3 linked regions of the Macaca mulatta genome follow. The protein of the gene in region 2 purifies or fractionates together with the protein of the main gene of each other region. This does not show direct contact. Links are inferred from orthologs where the notes say so. Each region holds a gene or a part of one and is shown on either strand. Other genes may lie near its edges.

Region 1 (4,083 bases), on a different chromosome or scaffold from region 2:
GTTGGCCAGGCTGGTCTCAAACTCCTGACCTCAAGTGATTGGCCAGCCTCGGCCTCCCAAAGTGCTTGGATTACAGGTGTGAGCCACCATGCCTGGCCTTGTGGGGTTATTTTCGAAAGTCCTTGAGACAGTCCCTATATCAGACATGCAAGCATGAGCCCTTCTGCTTGGTGTTCTCATGACTCCAATTTGTTTGGACTTGACAATGTGATTTTTGTCCTGGTATCTGCAACTTTCACAAGATGGAGCAACTCAACACCAGATTCCATCCCAAATTATTCCTTCATTCACTCAAAAAGTATCTAGGCACCAATGTGTTAGGTACCGTGTTGGTCACAGGGGATACCACGATGAACAAGAGAAGGAAACACAGGCTCCTGAATGCGAGAGTGAGGCATGTGGAAAGCAGACACGGAGAGCTGGGTGTGGTGGCTCATGCCTGTAATCCCAGTGCTTTGGGAGGCCAAGGATGGAGGATCGCTTCTGTCAGGGAGTTGGAGACCAGCCTGGACAACCTAGTGAGACTCCTGTCTCTATCAAAATAAAAAAATAATAATAAAATTAGCTGGGTGTGGTGGGGTGCACCTGTAATCCCAGCTACTCGGGAGGCTGAAATGGGAGGATCACTTGAGCCCGAGAGTTTGAGGGTGCAGTCAGCTGATATCAGGCCACTGCACTTCAGCCTGGGCGACAGAGCGAGACCCTGTCTCAAACAAAACAAAACAAACCACCACCACCAGACAGACATGAGGGCCAGTGCAGCTGTAGCCTGAAGATCAAGGGCTAGAAAAGTAGAGGCCAGACCGGGGCCAGATCAGGCAGGGCCTTGCAGGCTGTGGTTAGTTGTCTGGATTTTATTGTGAGGGAAATAACACGACATGTCATTCATTCTGCAACAGCCTTAAGAACTAGGAGTTCTTATCCCAATTTTACAGACGAGGACGATCAATCAAATCGTTAACTAATTTGTCCAAGGTCACCCGCAGGCGACAGGCGGGGACAGGGTCTGGGAAAACCGGCAGGCACCGAGGCCCAGAGGGCGTCGGGCTTCCCTGCACCGAGTGCCGCCCGCCGCGACCCGGGAACTGCCTGCTCCCCGGACGCCAGGCCCGCCGCTTGCCGCGGAGACACAGAACATGCGCTGCTCGCCTTACGGAAGCCGGGAGGGAAGGGGGCGGGGCCGAGGCTGGCGGGCGCGGGGAAAATGGCGGCGGCGGCGGCGGGTGCAGCTACAAACGGGACCGGAGGGAGCAGCGGGATGGAGGTGGATGCAGCAGGTAACGGGCCGTGCGCGGGCGGCTTCCGGAGACCTCCTTCAGGGGTGCGTTGAGGCCTTGCTGTGCTCCCGGGAGAAGGGAGGAGGGCGGAGCAGCAACATCTTTCTCTGGGATAAGTTGCGGGAGGAAAAGTGTGGCCCGGGCTCCGTCGTCCCCCACTGCTATCTGCAGGGAAGAACGTGGGGCCCGGACTCTCACCCTCTCTCTTTCCCTCCACCCTTAGTAGTTCCCAGCGTGATGGCCTCCGGAGTGACTGGGAGTGTTTCCGTCGCTCTCCATCCCCTTGTCATTCTCAACATCTCCGACCACTGGATCCGCATGCGCTCCCAGGAGGGGCGGCCTGTGCAGGGTGAGTGTTGGGCATAGACTCCAGTCTCCTCTCCTTGCTCACCTCCCCCAGACAGTGGTCTTTTCCCCTTCCTTTACTGGATCCAATTCCCCTCCCCCAAATCATCGTTTCCCCAATACTTGGTTCCCACTCATCTTAGACCCTCAGGTCATAGAAGTCTCTTTAACGTTACCTTTTCCATGTCATTCTCTCCCAGTGATTGGGGCTTTGATTGGCAAGCAGGAGGGCCGAAATATCGAGGTGATGAACTCCTTTGAGCTGCTGTCCCACACCGTGGAAGAGAAGATTATAATTGACAAGGAATATTATTACACCAAGGAGGAGCAGTGTGAGAGTGGAATAGATGTGGGGAAGAGGAGTGGGAGTTAAAAAAAATGTGCAAGGTGGGGAAGATGGAGAGGGTTGGAAAGAAACCCGAGAGGACGCCAAGAACAGAGGAGAAAAAGTGAAGAGAGTAGCTGGAGAGATCTCAGAAAAAGAACACGTTCAGAGTTCTTTCTCAAAAAGAAAGTAAAGGATGAGAGAAGACAGGATAGAAGGGAGTAATTATTCTAAACTGAGCCAGGATTTGAGGAAGGAGGAGAAGCTGGTGAAAATACACCAGGAGTTTCACATTGAGGAAGGATGGTTTAAAGGACTATGTCAGGCCGGACGCAGTGAATCAGGCCTATAATCCCAGCACTTTGGGAGGCCGAGGCGGGTGGATCATGAGGTCAGGAGTTACAGACCAGCCTGGCAAACATAGTGAAACCCCATCTCTACTGAAAATACAAAAATTAGCCTGGCATGGTGGTGCGTGCCTGAAGTCCCAGCTACTCGGGAGGCTGAGGCAGAATTGCTTGAACCTGGGAGGCAGAGGTTGTGGTGAGCCAAGATCGTGCCACTGCACTCTAGCCTAGGCAACAGAGCAAGACTCAAAAAAAAAAAAAAAAAGAATTACTGTGTGTTCTGGCCCTTTCCCCTCCAGTTAAACAGGTGTTCAAGGAGCTGGAGTTTCTGGGTTGGTATACCACAGGGGGGCCACCTGACCCCTCGGACATCCACGTCCATAAGCAGGTATACATGCTCACACCTGTGCATGCTGGGGCAGAGAATGGAGAATGAGGGGAAGGAGAAAGGTGGGGGTCACTGACTTCTGTGCATTGTCCCTCTCTTCCAGGTGTGTGAGATCATTGAGAGCCCCCTCTTTCTGAAGTTGAACCCTATGACCAAGCACACAGATGTGAGTAATACCCCATGCCTACTCTGTCGTGATTGTCACTGTTGTCTTTTACTGTGTGATACTCTTCTATTGGGGAATGCCAGGTGCCACTTACCAGCTGTAACTCTGTCTTAGTCATTTCATCTCCAAACTGTGAAGGGAGGTAATCCCTACTTCACTGGTTTCTTGGGAAGATGAGATGAGAGGAAATGGGTGAAAGCAGCTCGTCCAAATGTTGGCATATAGTGTTCAGGTTTCTCCATCTCCTTCACAGCTTCCTGTCAGCGTTTTTGAGTCTGTCATCGATATAATCAATGGAGAGGTAATACCCTACCCTTGAACCCTCAGATCCTGCTCTTGGCCTCTTTCCTGCTTTTGATTCTCCCTTTGTGGGTTACCTTGCCTTGTAGGCCACAATGCTGTTTGCTGAGCTGACCTACACTCTGGCCACAGAGGAAGCGGAACGCATTGGTGTAGACCACGTAGCCCGAATGACAGCAACAGGCAGTGGAGAGAACTCCACTGGTAATGGAGGGGATTACTTGGAAGTGGGGTTGGAAGGTGTGGCCACATCCCGTCTCAACCTCCTCCTGTCCTCGTCCCTTTGCAGTGGCTGAACACCTGATAGCACAGCACAGCGCCATCAAGATGCTGCACAGCCGCGTCAAGCTCATCTTGGAGTACGTCAAGGCCTCTGAAGCGGGTAGGACAGGGGCTTCCTTGGGCACTTCCCTGGCATTCTTCCTCTCCCTCCTGGGGAAGTGACAGCATCCAAACTAATGCAGCCTCTTTTTGTGCCTTTAGGAGAGGTCCCCTTTAATCATGAGATCCTGCGGGAGGCCTATGCTCTGTGTCACTGCCTCCCGGTGCTCAGCACAGACAAGTTCAAGACAGATTTTTATGATGTGAGTTTAAAACCTGGATGGGGAGGTGGGGCTCATGCTGTCACTTTCACGTGGAGGACCGGGGACTGTTGTTCCCTGGGCATGCCACGAGGGATCCCCTGAGGAATTTGTCCTTTCTGTTCCCTCCCAGCAATGCAACGACGTGGGGCTCATGGCCTACCTCGGCACCATCACGAAAACGTGCAACACCATGAACCAGTTTGTGAACAAGTTCAACGTCCTCTATGATCGACAAGGCATCGGCAGGCGAATGCGCGGGCTCTTCTTCTGAGGAGGGTACTTGAAGGGCTGATGGACAGGGGTCAGGCAACTGTCCCAAAGGGGAGGGCGCTACACTTGAGAGAAACCGCT
Region 2 (4,267 bases):
ATAACCCAGAAACCACGGAATCTTAAAGTCTCAATAAACGTTAAAGCACAGATAGTAAGTAATCTGGCAATAGAGTATGGGCGCCCAGCATACTGCCTACAGACCGCCTACATAATCAGTGGAGTCCAGTGCAAGTTGAAAATGCCAGGCACTTGCTTTGAAATTATTGATAATTTCAAGACCGTTAACAGTAGAACATTAAACCAAGCATTCAGGACCCTTCTAAGCGCAGAACCCATCAAAGCTAGCCCTGGTGACAAGCTCAGGCCTCCGGGTCTGGAGACTAGAAGACGTCGCCCGAAAGCTGGCCAAACCCTCGCCCTCACTGGGAGAGACCCCAGGAGGGCCCAAGAGGGCCACGAGCCCTCGCTCCCATCGCTGCCCTCAGGAGCGGGCGGAGGGAAGCTCGCAGCTTTCCCAAGGGAGTGCAGGCTGCGGGGACTGAAGTTCAGCTCGGACCCTGGGCCTCTGAGCCGGAGACAGCAAGGTCATTCAACCCCACACACTTCCCCACCCAGCCAGGCCGAGGTTCAGAGATATGGCAAGTCCCGGCCTTGGACTCATGCTTGTTACTCATAAACCCGCAAGAGGGGGCAGGAGGGGGCAGGAGGCGGCGCGCGCGCACCCCGGACTCACGGCCGGGGAGGGAAAGGCACTGTGAGGACAGAGGGTCTAGGGAAGGTCTGCAAATCCCGAAGGGCCAAGGGAGCGTCTAAATGGACAGCGGAACCGGAAAAGCTTTGAGAGAAAGATGCGTGTATTAGGGAACGTCTGCAAAGACCGCGGCAGAAGACCAGGAATTGTCTTAAAAAATTGCCGAGCAGATAAAGGGAGGTCTAAAAGGAGGCCGTCTCAAGAGCAAGGCTTCGAAAAGCTAAGCCCGGAAGGACGGTGTGGAAGCCTACTGGGACGCCGAGCACTCCTTAGGGCAGGACCGACTGGAGCTGCAGCCAGCGACAGGAGAACGGCTCCAGCTCGACGGGGGAAGCAGTAGGCTTAAAGAGGAGGCCCCTGGGCACTGTCTGAAAAGTGCGATGCCAAATGATCTTTAGGGACCGACAGTAAATTGTATCCCTTGCTAAAATACCTCTCGGTAGCGAACCACCAAACGTTTCTTTTTTAAGCCCCGCCTCTCAGCCATTACGTCTAGTTCGGCTGTCTCTGAGCCAGGAAGTTGTCAGTTCCCACTTACTCCTCCCCAACAAGAGCTAACAGCCCTCTTCGGGTGAGCACTTTCTCCTCCCCTCAGGCCCCTCGCGCATTCTCCCGCTTACCTATCAATCATCGCGCTCCGCTGTCCAGTTGGCGGGCCAAGGGGGCGGGGCCGTCGTGTGACGTTTGCAGCTCGCCGGCCGGGAAGCCGCGAGATGCGTGACGAGCCAGGCGCGTGACGGAGCAGCGGTTGGCCAACGCAGTGGCTGCAGTCGGTGTAAACAAGGCCTCGCGCCGCTGCGGGTCCTGCGACCGCTCCTGGCTGGTGGGTGGTCTCTCGTGGGGCAGTAACCGCCGGCTTCAGTGGGAGGTGCTTCTCGGCTTCCTCCCCCTCTTGGCGTACACACCCCCGGCGCACCACGTGGGCGTGAGGCAAGGAAGGAGGGGAGTTAGGCCAAATTCTATTTTCATTGGTTGTTATTGCTGCCGGCTTTCGTAAGGAGGCGCTCTGATTGGTTGGTAAGGGGGGGGTGCCGAGGGTCTTTGAGTCGTAAGGCTTCTCATTGGTTAGATGAGATAAGCTAGTGAAGCGCTTTCTTCCGCGAGGGATTTCGATTGGTCTGTCAGAGAGGTTACCTGGGAATCCTACACCGCCCAACACCTCTCCCGCTCCCCTGTCCAGGGACTGCGATAGGTGAGTTTGGTGTAGAAAACAAATCTTTCTTCAGTTGGTGAGCTAGGGTAGCGCACTACGGTTCACTCTTGCTTTCTTTGCTTCACAGGATTGGGGAAGGTTTGTGTTCCCGACGCCTTGGTAGTTGGCATAGGCTAAAGCAAAGGGATCTCAGCCCCGAGGGAGGGTCACCCTCCTAGAGATAGCTACTACCCCGTCTCAGGAGACCCTGGTATTTCTAGAGCACGCTTTGCTTTCACCAAACCCAAGGAGGTGACAGGCGGAGTCCTCGCACAGTACCTAAGGATGCTGTGACCAGAAGATGGGATCACGGAACAGCAGCAGTGCAGGATCCGGGTCCGGAGACCCCTCCGAGGGCTTGTCCCGAAGAGGGGCTGGCCTGCGTCGGAGTGAGGAAGAGGAAGAAGAGGATGAAGATGTGGATCTGGCCCAGGTACTGGCCTATCTCCTCCGCAGGTAACTTACCCTCTGGTGTGACCCTACCAGGTGCTACCACAGTGCCTTGATCCCATCTCCAGGCAGGAAAATTACAGAGGTTAGGAAATAGGATTCACTCAGGACAGCTGTTCTGTTTGAGCGGAACAGCCTTTCCCTGCTGGGCACCCATGGCACTCAGCTTCATACCCAGTAAGAGTGGTTCTTACCTAGGGAGGGTCACCAAGAGGACCTGCTCATGTGTTTGAGAGGCTATTCAGGGGAGCCTCTCTCTGTGACTACACAAATATAATCTCTTTTCCAAGTAAGTTTGAAAAAAAAAAGGGTGGGGGGAGGTTCCTGGTGGGAAAGCAGTGATATACGGGGGTGAAGAGATGGAAAGGGAGTGTTGAACTTTTTGGTAAGTCAGTTGACACGTGATATGAGGCCACTTCGATGAGGTCACTTCGATTTACTTGAAAAACAAGTTTAATTTGCCCTGACTCTGACTTGTTCTTGAGGAAAGAATGCCTTGAAGGGAGAGACCACCTGGAATTGACTGGAAAAGAGTGCAGCTGCCTTGCTTTCTTTGCTTATGGCTCTTTGAGGAGAAGATGAGCTTAGGGGTCCCATCAGAATATTGTATTCTTTTTTGTTTTTGTGTTTTGTGTTGTTTTTAGTAGACATAGACAGGGCTCACTGTGTTCCCCAGTCTGGAGAACAGTCTATTCACAGGTGTGATCACAGTGCACACCACAGCCCGCAACTCCTGGGCTCAAACAATCCTTGCCTCCCAGTTAGCTAAGACTACAGTTACACACACTACCACACCCAGCTTAGAATATTGTCTTCTGTGGTGGACTTCTCAGGCAGAGGCTCAGAAGGAAATGCTGTGAGAATGTTTAGCTCGTTGAGAGGTCAACTTAGTAGGTCATGTCCACAGCGTATTAGTCTTGCTCTTGCTCTAAGGAAATGCAGTTAGAATGTTTAGCTCTCTGGGAGGTCAACTTAGTAGGTCACGTCCACAGCATGTTGGTCTTACTCTTGCTATAAGAGTAAGACTCACTTTCCTACTGTGTTTTATAGGAGACCAAAAAATAACAGCCAAGGTCTAATCAGCCTCCAACCTCAAAATGAGTACCAAGTGGTCTAAGAGCTAGATAGCCATTTACTCTGAATTTGGTTGGTTTGGGGGAAGAAGTCCCCTCCTTTATAATGGGGGTCTCTCCACAGAGGCCAAGTGAGGTTGGTGCAGGGAGGAGGTGCAGCAAATTTACAATTCATTCAGGCCCTCTTGGACTCAGAGGAAGAGAATGACAGAGCTTGGGATGGTCGTCTTGGGGATCGATACAACCCGCCTGGTAAGAGGAAAAGTCCCTAATGTTGGAAGACTTTTACTGGAAAACCTTTTAGTGATATTTTGAATGATAGGTTACATTGAAAGAAGGTACGATAATTTAAGGAATAAGGAGTCCTTACAGCCCCAGTATATTCAGCCACAGGGGTGGGCTTGGGTACAGTTCTGCTAACTGTCCTCTGAGGCTGGAAGACCTAGGATGAAACTTCTACTTGGTACTCACAGTGGATGCTACCCCTGACACCCGGGAGCTGGAATGCAATGAGATCAAGACACAAGTGGAACTGGCCACAGGGCAGCTGGGGCTTAGGCGGGCCACCCAGGAGCACAGCTTTCCTCGAATGTTGCACCAGGTAGGCCTCTCCACCTCCCAGCCTGGCAGCAGGCCTGCCAAAGCAGCCAGAATCTCTGCCAGCCCCAGAGGAAAAGGAAGTCAACTTTCCAAGAAAGAAGCCTCAAGGGCCGGGGCTGGAGAGTTAACCAGCCCCCATTGGAGTTCTGTGGGACGGACAACGATGTGTTGTGTCCGTTTCTATAACAACAGCAGTGTCTTTGGAGGAGGGGGTTTGATATGGCTGAAGTGGCCCTCTATTTCTGCTAGCAATATTCCCCAATCCCTTCCATTTAGAGAGAACGGGGCCTCTGCCACC
Region 3 (3,601 bases), on a different chromosome or scaffold from region 2:
CTAAAAATTCACATTTGGCTTCTAGACTTTCCTTTGTAACGGTTTTATCTTCCTAATAATATGTTGCCTATGCTAATATTGAAGATAGCTAACATTCCCTGGGCATATATTAATTTATGAAGAAGTTTTTTGTTAGCCAAGAGGACTAAAGTTTACTCTGGAATGTCTATGATTGTGATTCATTTTGCTGCTGATCATCAAGAGTTCACTCATTTAACATTATGGAAAAGTATGTGTACACGAAAATAGAATAGTATCATGAACTTTTCCCCCTATCATGTACCTATCATCTGCCTACAGCAGTGATCAGAATTCACTGATTCTTGAGTATTGAAACCAGTTAATAAATAACCAAATAAGCTTTCAATACCAGTACAGTGAAAACTGTTTTATATCTTTGAACTAATTTTGTCTCTTGATTTGAGCAAGGAAGAAATCCACAAAAAGAAATAATACAACAAAACTTAGTTATGGAGGAAAATAGGAATTTAGCTTCAATTCTCAGTAAAGACAAAATGAGTTTCCTATGTGCTTTAATCTAATAATGTTATTCAGAATTAAATGTGTGGATTTTATTATTTGACAATTGCTGCTTCAAAGCCCTGGAGCCCTAATTAGCATGGGAACATGTGGTAAGAAGTAAAGCAAACCTCTTCAGAAGTGGTATTGTCAATTAATTTAGGTTATATGTGTTTTTTATTTTAGGGACATGGGACTGGAGTTATTTAGGGCTCATATTATAAGTGATCAGAAAGTCCAGAATAAGACAATTGATGGCATTCTTCTCTTGATTGAGAGGGAAAGGAATGGTGAAGCAATTGATAGAAGTTTACTTCGAAGCCTTTTAAGCATGCTGTCTGATTTGCAAGTAAGTTAACTACTACACATACTATACAGAGCTGATTGCTTTTCCTAGTTTTTTTTTCCCGATGTCAGACAGGTGATGTGCTGATGTCATAACAATGTCTGAAGGAAGCACATCTCATACATGAGCATAAAAACCCAATCATCATGCTTCTAAACTACAAAAGGATCCTAGCTTGATGTTTAAAAACCAAATTCATAATGCTGTTTACATAGACATAGAGAATATTTAGTAAATATTTACTAAATAAATGATCTCCTTCATTTTGTTGCCCCTCCCAGATTTATCAAGATTCTTTTGAACAACGATTTTTGGAAGAAACTAACCGGCTCTATGCAGCTGAAGGCCAAAAATTAATGCAAGAAAGAGAGGTATTTAAAAATCATGACTAATACATTCTCACTGTCTCTCACAATAGACCTTACTTTGTAGAATATAAGCTTCCCTTTGCATTTATCTTCCCAACATTGTGATGCTCTTCTCTCACTTAGGTGCTCCTTTCTTTTCTCTCTTCTTAAAGGCCAGAATTCTGGATCATAAACTCTACCTATAATTTTTACATATGATTCTACCCTGTCACATTTGACAGGGCCGCTTCCAGGATCTTTTGGACTTGACATTTTCTGAGTGATTTATGGGGAGGAAAACAATAATATAAAAAACTATCTTTGTAGGTTCCTGAATATCTACATCATGTTAACAAACGTCTTGAAGAAGAAGCAGACAGACTTATTACTTACTTAGATCAGACCACCCAGTAAGTATTACATGCTGAATTTAATAGTCTTAAACTGTCGTTAAATCACTTGCAGCACTTTAGCCATCCTAAACATGTTAGTAACTGTTTTCAGGTGTGATTTGAAGTGTTAACAGTTGTTTTCATAATATAAACTTGAAGTTATTCTTTTCCCTAATTAATTAGTTTTCATCCAAGGATTCGATTAGGAGTGGGTGGGGGTGTGTGTGTGTGTGTGTGTGTGTGTGTTTAGAATGTAATTTAGAAATAATATTAGAGGCTGATGTGATCTTTAAACTCTTCAGGCCAATTAAAATTCAGTGGATCCCCCCATTTTTGTGCTTTCCTAAGTGTTAATATTGTCAGTCGGGGGGCTTCTGTATGTAGTATTTCTTTACCTTCCTAATAAAAGTAGCAAAACTTGGAAAAAACCAACTACAACAAGGTCTTGGAGATATTTATTTCATGATGTAAACCAAATTCTAAAATATGCAGTGGTTTTTAAAAATTTTTGCCTGTCTATTCCTTTATGTTTTTTTCTTTTAGGTGTAAAGTATAGTAACTCTGAGCACCAATAAATTTATACATAGGATAGGAATCTTGAAATTAACATAAAATGAGCTATTTGATTCCACCCCCCCCTTCAGGAGAGGCTTTACATTTTCTGGAAGTCAAACATCAATAATGCTAACTTTTTTTCCTCGTAGGAAGTCATTAATTGCTACTGTAGAAAAACAACTTCTAGGTGAACACTTAACAGCAATTCTTCAGAAAGGTAATTGGCAATTTGTAAATAAGAGATTGCTTTTTAAATGGTAGTGGCAAACTAGTAGGGAATTTTTAAAGATGTTGCCCTTTTAAAAGTTTGACAGCATGTGGCTGCATTTCTGAGGATGGACACAATCCTTATTAATCACAGTAAACTTCCTGAAGGTGCCAGTTTTCTTATCTGAAAATACAGGAACTAGAAGAGAGGGATCCACAAATACCAATAAAAAAACAGTGGTTGATATGTGCCTGTAGTATCAACTACTTGGGAGGCTGAGGCAGGAGGATTGCTTCAGCCCAGGAGTTTGAGGTCAGCCTGGGCAACATAGTGAGACTCTCGTCTCTTTAAATAAAAGAAAAGAAAAGAAGTGGGAAATTCTTGACTTAATATGTTAGCTTTCAGTAAGGAAAGGTATTCCTTTTTACACTAAAGTGGTGAGGGTTTTTTGTTATTGTTAATGGCATGTCAAACCAAGCACTTCTAATCCAAAGTGAATTTGGAGTATACCCTGCATTTTACTTTGAGAATGCCACAAATAGGTAAAAACTTTACCTTTCTCTTCAACAATATTTTCTTTGGTATAAAAATTTATATATTTAGAAATTTAAGGCAGTTATACTGTTATTTCATCCTGAAAATCAAATATTTATTAGAGCCTCATTTAAATTTGACTTAATTTATGCATGGCTTTTGATATATCACAGGCCATATCTAATATTCTGAAATATAACTATGTACATAATATGGCTACTACATATATGAGGTATTTATAATGTATATTTATGTAAACCAGTTTTTATAAGTTTGTTTTTGCCTCTATCATGCTGAATGGCACAAACCATTATGGAGTTAACCATTTTTCTTTTTCTTTTTAATTTTTTTAACTTTTTATATTAAAATAGACAGGTGGGGGGAGGTCTTACTATTGTGCCCAGGCTGGTCTTGACCTCCTGGGCTCAATCGATCCTCCTGCCTTGGCTTCCCAAAGTGCTGGGATTACAGGTATGAGCCACCGTGCCTGGCCTGTTTTTATTTTTATAGTGACTAAAGTCTCTATATTTAGTTTTTACCCAGAAAGATGATTGGGTTTAATTCAAAGGAAATCTTAGAACTCACATACAGACTAGTCATAGTTCAAACCAGTATCACAATAATGATTATAACTCAAATTTTATTAAAATGTCTGATAATCTTGTTCACTTTTTTGTTCACTATATTTTAATGCCAAAAT

Evidence for each region.
Region 1: the proteins of DCAF11 (region 2) and COPS6 purify together in Homo sapiens (affinity purification with mass spectrometry; 6 studies listed by BioGRID and IntAct, counting the BioPlex papers as one, with this or other methods). This does not show direct contact. The link is inferred for Macaca mulatta from reciprocal best matches to the Homo sapiens genes DCAF11 and COPS6.
Region 3: the proteins of DCAF11 (region 2) and CUL4B purify together in Homo sapiens (affinity purification with mass spectrometry; 9 studies listed by BioGRID and IntAct, counting the BioPlex papers as one, with this or other methods). This does not show direct contact. The link is inferred for Macaca mulatta from reciprocal best matches to the Homo sapiens genes DCAF11 and CUL4B.

Annotation. Positions count from the first base shown.
Region 1 is NC_133408.1:47,395,925-47,400,007, forward strand, and holds the start of COPS6 (COP9 signalosome complex subunit 6), read left to right. Parts: upstream 1-1,182; 5' UTR 1,183-1,204; coding exon 1,205-1,277; intron 1,278-1,500; coding exon 1,501-1,626; intron 1,627-1,822; coding exon 1,823-1,954; intron 1,955-2,593; coding exon 2,594-2,682; intron 2,683-2,785; coding exon 2,786-2,848; intron 2,849-3,101; coding exon 3,102-3,149; intron 3,150-3,237; coding exon 3,238-3,352; intron 3,353-3,437; coding exon 3,438-3,530; intron 3,531-3,631; coding exon 3,632-3,732; intron 3,733-3,862; coding exon 3,863-4,003; 3' UTR 4,004-4,083. UniProt on the Homo sapiens protein: Component of the COP9 signalosome complex (CSN), a complex involved in various cellular and developmental processes.
Region 2 is NC_133412.1:97,231,845-97,236,111, forward strand, and holds the start of DCAF11 (DDB1- and CUL4-associated factor 11), read left to right. Parts: upstream 1-1,448; 5' UTR 1,449-1,846; exon of another isoform or gene 1,847-1,934; 5' UTR 1,935-2,147; coding exon 2,148-2,302; intron 2,303-3,493; coding exon 3,494-3,621; intron 3,622-3,842; coding exon 3,843-3,970; intron 3,971-4,245; coding exon 4,246-4,267. UniProt on the Homo sapiens protein: May function as a substrate receptor for CUL4-DDB1 E3 ubiquitin-protein ligase complex.
Region 3 is NC_133426.1:126,941,875-126,945,475, reverse strand, and holds part of CUL4B (cullin-4B), read left to right. Parts: intron 1-705; coding exon 706-868; intron 869-930; exon of another isoform or gene 931-1,034; intron 1,035-1,146; coding exon 1,147-1,236; intron 1,237-1,539; coding exon 1,540-1,622; intron 1,623-2,308; coding exon 2,309-2,376; intron 2,377-3,601.